3 linked regions of the Caenorhabditis elegans genome follow. The protein of the gene in region 1 purifies or fractionates together with the protein of each later gene. This does not show direct contact. Each region holds a gene or a part of one and is shown in the gene's direction. Other genes may lie near its edges.

What was found.
Region 2: the proteins of Y19D10A.16 (region 1) and snrp-40.2 fractionate together in Caenorhabditis elegans (co-fractionation; one large-scale study listed by BioGRID). This does not show direct contact.
Region 3: the proteins of Y19D10A.16 (region 1) and srp-1 fractionate together in Caenorhabditis elegans (co-fractionation; one large-scale study listed by BioGRID). This does not show direct contact.

The regions. Positions count from the first base shown.
Region 1 is NC_003283.11:2,390,964-2,394,700, forward strand, and holds Y19D10A.16 (Aldose 1-epimerase), read left to right. Parts: upstream 1-1,808; coding exon 1,809-1,953; intron 1,954-2,049; coding exon 2,050-2,204; intron 2,205-2,252; coding exon 2,253-2,351; intron 2,352-2,539; coding exon 2,540-3,052; intron 3,053-3,103; coding exon 3,104-3,184; downstream 3,185-3,737. Other genes in the region: srd-75 (Serpentine Receptor, class D (Delta)), read left to right, coding at 3,522-3,715.
Region 2 is NC_003279.8:4,191,434-4,196,291, forward strand, and holds the start of snrp-40.2 (WD_REPEATS_REGION domain-containing protein), read left to right. Parts: upstream 1-1,807; 5' UTR 1,808-1,814; coding exon 1,815-1,892; intron 1,893-2,502; coding exon 2,503-2,601; intron 2,602-2,990; coding exon 2,991-3,088; intron 3,089-3,277; coding exon 3,278-3,443; intron 3,444-4,153; coding exon 4,154-4,276; intron 4,277-4,858. Other genes in the region: cas-2 (C-CAP/cofactor C-like domain-containing protein), read left to right, coding at 1-404, 1,246-1,590.
Region 3 is NC_003283.11:751,763-755,669, forward strand, and holds srp-1 (Serpin domain-containing protein), read left to right. Parts: upstream 1-1,520; 5' UTR 1,521-1,595; coding exon 1,596-1,891; intron 1,892-2,101; coding exon 2,102-2,277; intron 2,278-2,486; coding exon 2,487-2,653; intron 2,654-2,703; coding exon 2,704-3,006; intron 3,007-3,062; coding exon 3,063-3,221; 3' UTR 3,222-3,362; downstream 3,363-3,907. Other genes in the region: str-262 (Seven TM Receptor), read right to left, coding at 1-34, 83-236, 283-417, 503-581, 624-711, 835-1,017.

The DNA.
Region 1 (3,737 bases):
ACTGATTTTGCATGGTTAAGAACGTGCAGACGTCACATTTTTTGGGGGCGAAAATTCCCGCATTTCTTGTAGATCAAACCGTAATGGGGCAGCCTGGCACCACGAAAATTATTTTTTCAGCACAAAAGATTTTAACTTGACTTCAAAAGGTTTTAACAAATCATTACAGTAAAAAACACTTGAAGTAGGCTCCGCCTATATCTTGGCTTTCAAAAAAAATTTTTATTTTTATTCGCATTTTCTTCTCACTTAATTTCAGTTCTCTTGAAGTTTTCAAAATAATTATTTTTTTAATTAATATAATAATTTATGCCTGAAATTATTTACCTATTTTTTTGAGGAGTTGTCGAACTTTGAAATGGTTTTAAAAAACATTGCAGAGCGGAGCAAATTAGGAGCAAATTTTTATAAACTTCAATTTTTAGTAATGAGAAACAATTTTTAAGGGTGGACTACCTCAGGTTTGGATGACAAATTTGGCAAATAAGCAAATTGCCGGTTTTCCAATTTGCCGGAAATTTTAATTTTCGGTAAATTGCCGATTTGCCGTTTGCCGAAAATCGATTTGCCGGAAGTTTTTAGAGGAATTTTTTATGAGACGGAAACCCTTAAAACTGTGCCTTTTTGGAAAATTTTTCCCTTTTTCTTTAGATATTTTCATAGAATTTACTTACTTTGCGTGCAATTTTGTCGATTAAAATTGAAATTCTGAAATTTTCAAATTTTCGTCATTTGCCATTTTTCCGTCAAATTCGGCAAGATTTGTGTGTTTCACTTTCGGCAATTTTAGCCGATTTGCCGCAAATTTTCAATTCCTCCAGTTTGCCAATTTGCCGGAAATTTTCAATTCCGGCAATTTGCCGCATTGCCGGAAATTTTCAATTCCGGCAATTTTCCGATTCGCCGGAAATTTTCAATTCCGGCAATTTTCCGATTTGCCGGAAAAAATCATTTGCCGCCCGCGATTTTTTTTTGAATTCCCGCGTAAATAAAAAACCTAGTTTTGGTATTGCTGTGCTCTCCAACTATATTAATTAGTTTTTTTTATTCCGGCAAATCGGCCATTTGCCGGATTGCCGGTTTGTCGATTAGCCGGAAAATTTCAATAATTTTTTTTCCAAAAAAAAAATTCCTTAGGAAATTGAAATTTTGTTAATTTTCTTTTTTCATTTTTTTACCCAAATTCCCTAACCTAAATATTCCCGATCAAAGTGCATACAAAAAAACGGATCAATAATTCTGATCCAGTGGTCCAGTCACACCAAAACGTTTGACCGAGTAAATACACTGCTGCTGCAGTAATGTTTTTTCTTCTTATTATTACTGCGTCTCTACGTGACTTGGGTCACTCTCCGATTTTTTAGGTGTCTTTTTGTTTCGTCCCATTTTTATCAGTTCACGTTTATTCCACGTGTCACATAAATTGAAGGTTTAATCCTCTTAATTTCAATTTTTGGTCGCTGGAATTTTGCGATAGTGAAACATTTTAAGCTTTCATTTTCCCCATTTTACTTTGAGTTTTCTGAAAAGTGTCAAAGTGTCCCATTTCGGTGTGATCTACCAAAAATGCAGGAATTTAGACGCAGACTTCTCAACAAATTTCGTATGGTTAAGAGTGTGCTGACGTCACATTTTTCTCTGCAACAAAGTCCCGCATTTTTTGTAGATCACACCAAAATGGGACTGTTTGACGGCACGTGTAAATTCTGAAAATTACCTGTTTTGCTTGCCCGATTTTTCTCCTTTTTGCGGCCGTGTGCTTTTTGCCAATTTTCAATATTTTCATTTCCAGAGCCCTCTCTACCATCATGGCCTCAGGATTCATCGAAATTGCAAACAAGCAGGGTCTCACCGCGACTCTTCTCCCGTTCGGTGCCACGTTGGCAAAATTAACATTTCCGGACAAAAACGGAAAGAATCAGGATTTGGTGTTAGGATTTGACACTATTGATGGTAAGATTTTTGTCTAAATCTAAGCCTTAGTCTATGCCTATGCCTAAGTCTGAGCCTAAGCCTAGTCCTAAGCCTAAGCAAAAACCTTCTTTTCAGAATTCGAAAAAGACGCCGCCTCTATTGGAAAGACTGTCGGAAGAGTCGCGAATCGAATCAAAAACTCGACATTACACTTTGACGGGAAACAGTACACAATGACGCCCAACAACGGGCCGCATTATCTTCACGGCGGGCCCAATGGACTGGGATATGTAAGATATTGAGCCTGAAATTATTTCCAGGATTTAATTCAATTTCAGAGAAAATGGGAAGTAGTCCGCCACGCTCCAGAGTCGGTTTCCTTTAGCGTTCGGGCCAATGAGCAGGATGACGGGCTTCCTGGCGATGCGAAAATTGATGTGAGTTTTTTAAGCGCCTACACTTGGTGTCAGAGTGTCTCATTTAGGCTTGATCTACGTAGATCTACAAAAAATGCGGCAGAGTTCTCAACTGATTCCGAATGGTTAAGAACGTGCTGACGTCACATTTGTTTGGGCAAAAAATTCCCGCATTTTTTGTAGATCAAACCGTCTAAACAATTTTCCAGGTAACCTACACTGTAAATGACCGTAACCAGCTCATCATCGAGCACCACGCGACATGCGACACCCCGGGCCTGCTCGCTCTCACCAATCACGCCTACTGGAACCTAGACGGCTCGGATACCGTCGCCGAGCACTTTCTGGAGATGGAAGCCGACGAGTTCGTGGAGGTGGACGATACGTTCTGCCCAACTGGAGCCATCCGATCCGTCACCGACACCGGATTCGATTTTCGGAGTGGGAAGCAGCTGAAAGAGTCGGGGAAGGACGCGGAGGAGTTGCTGGATTTGGATAATGATTTAGTGATCACTAAGAAGACCCCGCCATCAACTCCATCGACTTACTTGAGATTTTGGAGCGAAAAGTCTGGAATTGAACTTTCCATCACAACTTCTTACCCGGTTATTCATCTCTATGCGTCGAAATTTTTGGATTGTAAAGGCAAAAAGGGGGAGCATTACAAGGCCAACAAGGCGTTGGCAATCGAGCCACAATTCCACTCGGCAGCTCCAAATTTTGTAAGTCATCTTGTTCTTGTAAAGTGTTTTAAAACAAATATCTGAATTTAGGATCACTTCCCCGACGTCTCTCTTCGCCCGGGAGACCACTACTGTCAGGAGATTGTCTACACATTTTCTCATGTTAATTGATCAATTTGTAAATTAATACTGTATTTATGAATATTTTCTGCTTTATTTCTTTTCCTCTGCCGAAGCCGAAGCCTAAGCCTAAGCCTAAAAATTAGCCTAAGTTTAGGCCTAATTAGGCCCACGCTAAAGACTAGACCTTAGCCTAAGACTAGATAAGCCTAGTTTTTATTACTTTCATAGTTTCTGCGTTGCTCTATGTAGCTGTGGATGTTGACTTCTAACACCTGGTGTTGTTTTGATATTAAATAATAATTTTTGGCAATACCTTTCTAGCCTATAATTACATTTCTCCTATAGCCTAGAAAAATTGTTTCAAAACGTTTACGCTTTTTGGCACATGGAACCCCTGCAAACAATTTCTCGAGTCTATTGGACAATATTCTTTTCTATTTGTCTGTGTCTTCACTCTTCAATGTTCCTTTTGATCTACTACCGCACAAGTCGAACCATCAGAAACTTACGGTGGTTTTTATATCCTTCGAACACGGCCTCTTTCGTACTTGCTACAGTTGCTTTTATATTGCAGGTTAGGTAAGTTTTAACGGTTACAAAG
Region 2 (4,858 bases), on another chromosome or scaffold:
CTCCGATGTGTAACAGGAAAAGTGGAGGAGCTCCAACGCCGCCGCCACCACCACCTCCACCAATTTCATTGATTGCGCCTTCCAAGCCTTCTGGTGTCGGTGCTCTACTGGAATCTCTCAATACGGGATTATCGGCTACTAGTCGTTTGAAGAAAGTCACCCCTGAAATGCAAACTCACAAAAATCCGGTACTTCGTGAGGTAAATGGACAGATGAATCGAAAAACTGAAGAAAGAAAGGTGAGCGAGAACAAGAAACCGGAGAAAATTCACGAATCGAGCATTTTCTGGGATGGAAAGATTTGGAAAGTTGATCATCAAGTTGGTAATAAGAATGCCGTCGTTGAAGTTACGGATAAGAAGGAATCGATTTATATTTACAAGTGTAACGATTCTATTATCAAGGTTAATTTTTATTCGATTATTTTTTCGCAATTTCACACAAAATGGCCGGTTTTTCAAGGCTTTTATATTGAAAATCAGTGTCAAAATATATAAAACCTTTTTAATTTTTTAAATTTAAAAATGTAATTTATTTCAGTTTAAAAAATAAAAACTCGGCCACTTTTATGCTTTTTCTCAGATGTTTTAAGTGGAATAAATTTTATTTTCAGATGAAACAAGTCATTTTTGACACTAATTTTTAAGTTAAACAAATTGTGGCTATAAAAACGTAAAATTTTCGGTTTTCCAGAAAATCGAAAAATTTATCAAATTTTGTTAATGTTGATGGAAAAAAATAAAAAGAAAACATATACATTTTTTTCTGAAAAGAAGAAAATGACCGAAATTTTTAGATATTTTTCGAGAAATTGAAGCTTTTTCGAAATATCTGAAAAACTAGAAATTGAAAAGAAACCAAAAATTCCAATTACGGATTTCCTGTTTTCCATTTCCAAAGAAATTTTTAATGTTTCGAAACTAATATCTTTAAATTCTGGTAATTTTTCTGTTTTTTTTTTAGATAAAATTGATATGTTTTCTTATTAGTTTTTCATCAACATTAACAAAATTTTAGAATATATATTTATGTTTGATTTTCTGAAAATTGTTTTCTTGAAAAAATTCGAAAAAACCGACACCCTTTTCGAAATATCAGAAAAACTAAAAATCAAAAAAATATGACGAACATTTTCTGTAAAACGAATTTTTTTTTCGATTTATTAGAAAATTGAGAAACTGACACCCTTAATTCTAATGGATAAAAAAATTTATCAAAAAAGAAAGTCTAAAAATTAAATTACAGATCAAAGGAAAGGCCAACGCAATTACATTGGACGGATGCCGTAAAACTTCAGTCGTATTTGATGGTCTTGTTGCTCAATGTGAAATCATCAATTGCCAATCAATTCAAATTCAAACTCTCGGAGAACTTCCAACTGTTTCGATTCAAAAAACCGATGGATGTCATATCTATCTGTCACGTGATGCTTTGAATGCTCAAATTGTTGCATCCAAATCCAGTGAGATGAACATCTCCGCGATGTTGGAAGATGGAGACGATGAGTACACGGAAATGGCATTGCCAGAGCAGTTTATGACGAAGATTGTTGGAAAGAAGCTTGTCACTGTCGCATCTGAAATTGTATAATTAGCTTTAAAGTTTTAATGCATTCTCCGAATATCTCCCTACTATCCCTCATCTCTTCCTCCTGCTGGATCTCGTTCTCCTATCAAAAAATAAATTATTTTCTGTGATTTTTCTCGTTTTTTAATTTGTTTTGATTAACGCTGATTATTAATGCTTCAAGATATTGGAATATTTAGGAAAAAGCAAATAATCTGAAGCCACTTTCCGAACATTACAGGTGCAAAATGGCGATGGTAATCCCAGCTCGCAATCAAATGGCTTCACAATTTTTAGAGTTACCCAAAAGGACTTCAAGCTTGATGGTTTGATTTTTAGAAATTTTTTGTTTGGGAAGAAATTTGGCTTTTTCGATTTTTTTTTGTTTGAAAAAAAAAGTATTTTGGAATTTTTCGTTTTCTCTCGATTTTAAAAAAAATCTAGCTTTTTCGAAAAAATAGCTTGAATTATATTTTAGATTTTCCAGTGAATCAAAGAAAAAATTCGCTGAGAAATTGTGAAAAATTATTTTTCAAAAATTGAGAAATTTATGAAAACATTGAAATTTTTGAAAAATAACTAAAAATTTTGCTATTTTTCTTTTTTACAGAAGAAATTTGTTTTATACGAAAAGATGCGCGCCTTTAAAGAGTACAGTAAAGAGTACTGTAAAACTGCTGTAAGAGTACTGTGTACTTTAAAGAGTAATATAGTACTCATCAACATGAAAAAAATTGTAACAATTTTTGAACTCAAATTTTTTTTCCGATTTTTTAATTTTTCGTAATTTCGACAAAATTCGATAAGACAATATAAAATTTAAAAAAATTTTTTTGGAATTTTTCGAAATCATATTTTCAGAAAATCGAAAAAACCGCCACCCTTGTTAGAATTACAAAAAATTGCAATTTTTCGACACAAAAAAATAAATTTCAGGCTCCAACAATGGTTCTTCAAGGACACGGAGGAGAGATTTACACGTCCCAATTCAGTTCGGATGGAAGTTTTCTTGCTAGTGCCGGATATGATCAACAGGTTTTTTGAAATTTGACGTTTTTTACATCAAGAATACGGTACCCAGGTCTCGACACGACTGGTGCTTTGTAAAATGCGAAATGGTGTGTGCCTTTAAAAAGTACTGTAGTTTTCAACTTTTGTTGCTGTGGAGTTTTTTTTAAATAAAAATTAAACTAAGAGCTTTTATTGTTATATTTGACTTTCCTGATAAATAAATATATTTCTTTTCGTAAAAATTATAAAAATTCGATGAGAATTCCGCAGCAACAAAAGTTTGAAACTACAGTACTCTTCAAAGGCGCACACCTTGTCGTGTCGAGACCTGGTACCGTACTTTTGACGTAAAAATCGCTTCCGTGTAGCAATAGAATAGCGTTTCACTGAAATTACACTTATTTTTCATTCAGATCTTCCTGTGGAATGTGTTTGGCGAATGTGAGAATTTTGCAGTTCTCAAAGGGCACAAAGGAGCCATTATGGAAGTGAAATTCAACGCGGATTCGAGGTTTCTTTTCTATTTTTATTTTTCTGATTTTCAGCGTCCAAAATAAATCCCGAGGTTTTATTTTCCGTCAGTTTTCGGTACAATTTTCATGAAAATTTGGAGATTTTTTCGCGTTTTGGACGCGGAATTAAAATAGATTTTATTGAAAAATCCATCCAAATACCCAAAAAAACTTTTCCAAAATTTCAGTCATCTTGTATCTGCTGGAACCGATAAAACCGTTCGTGTCTGGGATATGGAAACCGGTTCGTGTATTCGAAACTTCAAATCTCATACCGATATTGTCAATTCGGTTGATGTGAATCGTCGAGGTCCTCAAATGATTTGCTCAGCGTCGGATGATGGAACTGTCATGGTATAAAGATCTTAGTTGACACGAAAATCGGATTTTTCCAAATAAAAATACATTTAAAAGAAATTGAAAACTTCCAATTTTAAAATTTTTCTCAACTTTTTTTGATACAAAAAATATATATTTTAGCCACAAAAAAACGAAGGATTCTAGAATTTATATTGTGAAAGGAAATTTAAAAATGACTTCTTTTTTTGAAAAATTTGAAGTTTGAAAGACGTTTGAGCAAAAAAATTTCGCAAAATATTTCGTTGATATTTTTTGAGCCATATTCAATAACAGAAATTAGGTGCTTGGAAAGTTTTAGATTTTTCAAAATTTTCAGTAAGAGTTTTGGTAAATTGTCAAAATGCGAAATATGTTGTAACCCTAAGTACAGTTTTCAAATAATAATTAATATTAACATAAAATAGTTCTCGTTAAAAAAATTTTTATCGACTTTAAAAAATTACGATAGGCGACAACTAAGTAATTGCCACTTTTTTAACAGAAATAAAATATTTCTAAATAATTATTGGAAATATTTACAATGTTTTTATGCAATTTAAATCGAGCTTTAATAATAAAAAAAGTGAAATGAAACTGTCAAATTAAATTATTCGAAAATCCTGAAATACACTCTTATAATTGTGCAATTAAAAATCTTAAATACCACTTTTAAAATTCCATAATAAATTTTAAGTTTTTTTTTTCATTGAAACGAATATTTTCAGGTTCACGATATGCGGAGCAAGGAAGCGGCGAAAAAGTTTATCTGCAAATACCAACAGACGGCTGTCACGTTCAACGATGCCGCGGATAATGTTATTTGTGGAGGAATTGACAATCAGATTAAGGTTTTTTTTTTTGAAAATTTTAACACAAGGGTCTTCACAAGAAATTCAAACCCTGAACCCATGAAAATGCGGTTTTTTCATTTAAAAAAAATTTATAAAAGTTGTTTGAATGTAGAAAATAAATTTGGAAGATTTTTGAAAAACTGTGTACTGAATAGCCGCTGAAATTTTTGTGGTGACCGAGTTTAACGAAATAATGACGTCACATTTGAAAGTTCCGAAAAAGTGCAAACATAAAGACTATTGTAGAATTACGACTATAGTCATTACTACAATAACCCTAATAGATTCCATTTGGCTCTTTTCCATTCATTTGCCCTCCAAGACCAATTCTAGTAAAACGAAAGTGGAAAGGAAATGAAAAATCTGTCGCTCAATCCTTTTTCATCCAATTAATACATGGATGACGAATTTCCGGTTATTTAAGAAATATTTTGAAGAAGAAGGTTTCTGGAACTAATTGAGAATTGGTTTTGCAAATTTGTAATAAATTCACTTTTTAAGATTTTTTGAAATTTTAGGAAATTTAGAAATTTTAGAAATTTCTTTAAATTCAAAAGTTTAGAATTCTTAAAATTTTTT
Region 3 (3,907 bases), 1.6 Mb from region 1:
TTCCGAAGAATATCATGATCGAGCTAGAGAGACCCTAAAATGTTTGACAATTTTTTACAGTTTTTTTTACAAATAAACTCACAATTGACCCCATAACTATCAATGAGCCTTCCGCACCTTTCCAACTAAAATACGTTTCCGTTATTGAATTTTCAAGTTTCGGCCAGAAAAACGGGCCCATGTAATAGAGGTCTTCAAGATTTGTTTGATTTTTAATTACTTTTAGATAATTTTCTCTGAAAGTCATGATAATAAGCACCAGAATTTCTGAAATGTTCAGACCTCATGAACCGATCCGTTTCCGCATCAGCCGACAGAATAATACCACCGGTAATCATATAGAGGACGCCGTTGATAAGAGGGACTGTGAAAATGGGAATAATTAGCCATGAGTCAAAGATTTTAAGGTAGCGACTGCTGAAAACAATTTGAAATTGAAAATTTCTTTAACATATTTGAAAATTTGGGAGTTTTTTTTTTTTATTTGAAAAATATTACTAACTTTGTGACGCTGAAAAATCGATAAATGAAATGAAGAGCTAGAATTGACATGGACGTTCCAAAAAAGCCGACGAAAAGCACTGAAAAACTATTAAGATTTTCAGAAAACTGGGGGTACCTACGATCCATTAAACATGACATGGTTGCTGGGAAAATAGACTCCTTCCAATTAACGATCAAAAAGAATGCAGACTTTTTGGTGAAGAGATCCTGTGGAAATAATTTTATCTAAGTTAGAGAAATATGGGAGCAACCGACATTCCACGGGTTGGTTTTTTAAACTTAAATCTTGAAACCCGTGAGTTGTCGGCTGCGGCAGATCCCACAACTTACAGGTTTTTCTGCAAAGTATAGAATTGCGTAGGAGAACTCGAAAAGGTTAATATAAAGCATCAAAAACTTATATGAGCCCAATGATTTTGGGGATTTTTTCAGAATTAAAACAATCAAAAGGAAATTAATAAGAACTGCGCAGACCGCTGACAAGTTTAGGATTAAGGTGCTGTTAAGATGCATATTTTGAAACAAAACTTCCTTCAACCGATGTTTGGGAGAGTAAATCGTATCATGTGGCAACTCTTGTGATTAGAAACACCAAGTAGTACCATTTTAATTTCCGTGTATGCCTATGAATGCTGTCTAGTGCGTAGGCATAAAATAACAGAAAAAACGTAATAAAGAATGAGAAAAAAAAACCTTAATTTCTGTCCATTTTTGGGAAAACTTCCAAATTTGTATTCCCGAAAAAAAAAAATATTTTCCGTCTAAATTTTTTTGAAGAAATAGGTTTTTTTTTAATTAATAAGGGAAAAGCTTGGAAAATTGACAATTGGAATTTAAGTAGTTGAAATTTTTAAAAGTAGATTTATGTTCAATGTGAAGTAGGTGTCATCGCACAATGAATTGAATTTTTGAATTGAATTCTTTTCATTGAATTCCTTGCGAAATTTCACGCCGACACAACAACAAACAACAAACAAACTCGATTCCTCCCCTCCGAAACCAAACTCCTGTGTAACATACCAGCTGTTCACTTTACCTTGAACTTTATTTTTCTCTCCGAAGCATCTACCACATCAATTGATCGTGTAATTATGAGCTTTTCGCTCATAAATTCTACATTTACCGAGGCTCAATTTGGTATTAAACTGCTATCAGATCTAACTTCCGACCAGCTCACACCATGCGTCTTCTCCCCGGTGTCTATTCTATTATCGTTGGCTCTGGTGCATCTTGGAGCTAAGGGACATACCAGACATGACATCCGAAACTCTGTGGTGAATGGGAGCACCGATGAGCAGTTTATCGAGCATTTCAGTTTTATTAATAAACTTTTGAATAGTTCTGTGAACGATGTGGAGACTTTGATTGCCAACAGACTATTTGTTTCGTGAGTTTTTTTTCTGTAGTGGAAATATTTGTTGTAGTACGTTTAAGATTTAAAAAAGTATTTGAGCATATTCCTGGTCTATCAATCATTTCGGGTTTTCGAAAAAAAAAATCAAAACTTAAAAATAGAGTTTTCTGACGGAAAAATTAACTTTTTCTCAAATCTTTTTTGGTAGTTGTGTTGCAAATTTTCAGATTATCCAATTTTTAGGCCAGAACAAGCAATTCGAAAAGCTTTTACCGATGAGCTCCGCGAGCATTACAACGCTGAAACGGCAACAATCGACTTCAAAAAGTCTCAGGAAGCCGCAAAAATAATGAACCAGTTTATATCGGAGAGTACCAAAGGAAAGATACCTGATATGATTAAGCCGGACAATTTGAAAGGTGAGATTTGAGTGTAGGAACTTGAATGCCTGCTGGGGCATCCAGGTGCCTAGGCTTAGGCTCAAGCTCAGGTTCAGGTTCAGGATCAGGCTCAGGCTCAGGCTCAGGCTCAGGCTCAAAAAAATTTTTTTTGAACTATCAGATAATCGAAAAATCTAAAAACGATAATTTTAGATTTTTTTTTCCGAAACAACTTTTAACAGTTTTAGACGTCGACGCAATTCTCATCAATGCAATTTTCTTCCAAGGCGATTGGCGTCGAAAATTCGGGGAACCCGCGGAATCCAACTTCTCTATTTCTGCTACTGAAAATCGCCTTGTCCCAATGCTCCGCGAGACCAGAGACTACTTTTATAACAAGGATGATGAGTGGCAGGTTTTAGCTGAAAAATGTTCAGCAAAAAACTGAAAACTATCTAATTTCAGGTTATTGGTATCCCATTCAAAGACAAATCCGCATGGTTTGCCATTTTCCTCCCAACGCGAAGATTCGCCTTGGCTGAAAATCTGAAATCCCTGAACGCTGCGAAATTCCATAATCTTATCAACAATGTCTATCAAGAGTACATCTTTTTGACTTTCCCCAAATTTAAGATGGACTATAAGATAAATCTGAAAACCGCCCTCGCCAAGTTCGGGCTCGCGGAGCTGTTCACAGAACAGGCTGATCTTTCTGGAATCGGGCCGGGGCTTCAGCTGGCGTCGGCTACACATCAGGCACTGATTGAGGTGATTTTTTTTAGAAACTTTTATCTTGACAGTGGTATTTAAATCTTCATTTCCAGGTAGATCAAGTCGGAACCCGAGCCGCTGCTGCCACCGAAGCCAAGATCTTCTTCACCTCCGCCAGCAGCGATGAACCTCTTCACATTCGTGTCGATCACCCCTTCCTTTTTGCAATTATCAAAGACAATTCTCCATTGTTCTTGGGAACATACACTTAACTTTTTTATATTCGATGAGAAAATGTGTAATTTGAAATTTTGTAAATTAAAGATTTCCCATAACTTAAATTTCGTAGATAGTTTGATACTTGCAAAGAAGCTGCCGACATTTTCAGGGCTTTGCAACTCATCAATAAACACTTAAGCCTTCGCAGGACGTCGAGAGGTGTTAAACAGGGTTGTGCGGCAACCGGCTAAATTTGTCAAGTTTTCATAATTTGTAGCTCCAGCAATTATTTGCAAAACTTTTAATTTCTACTCATAGGATTTTTGAACCAAAATCTAATTACAATGGTTTTTGCGCATTTTTTGTCACTTTTTGAAAAAAACTACAGCACAATCCTATATTCGAATCCCCGCAATTGTTAAATATTCATAATAGAAATATAAGTAGACTACAAAATTTGAAAAAATTTTTTAATTGACAAATTCTAAGAAAAACCGCAAAAACTGATTGATTATCTTTTTTTGAAGCGATATTTTATAAAATAAAAACTTTGTTTATAAGTTTTACTATGGTGTTCAGGCGCTACTCTCCGCCTTGATTTATTAAATTCTCGAGTCGTTTTCAGACAGAATACCTGTAGAACATCGATCTTCAAAACAATTCACTAATTCGTCAGATTCGCACAGGCAATATGTCTGCAAAAATTGAATAACAAGTCTAACATCATAACGTACGTGAA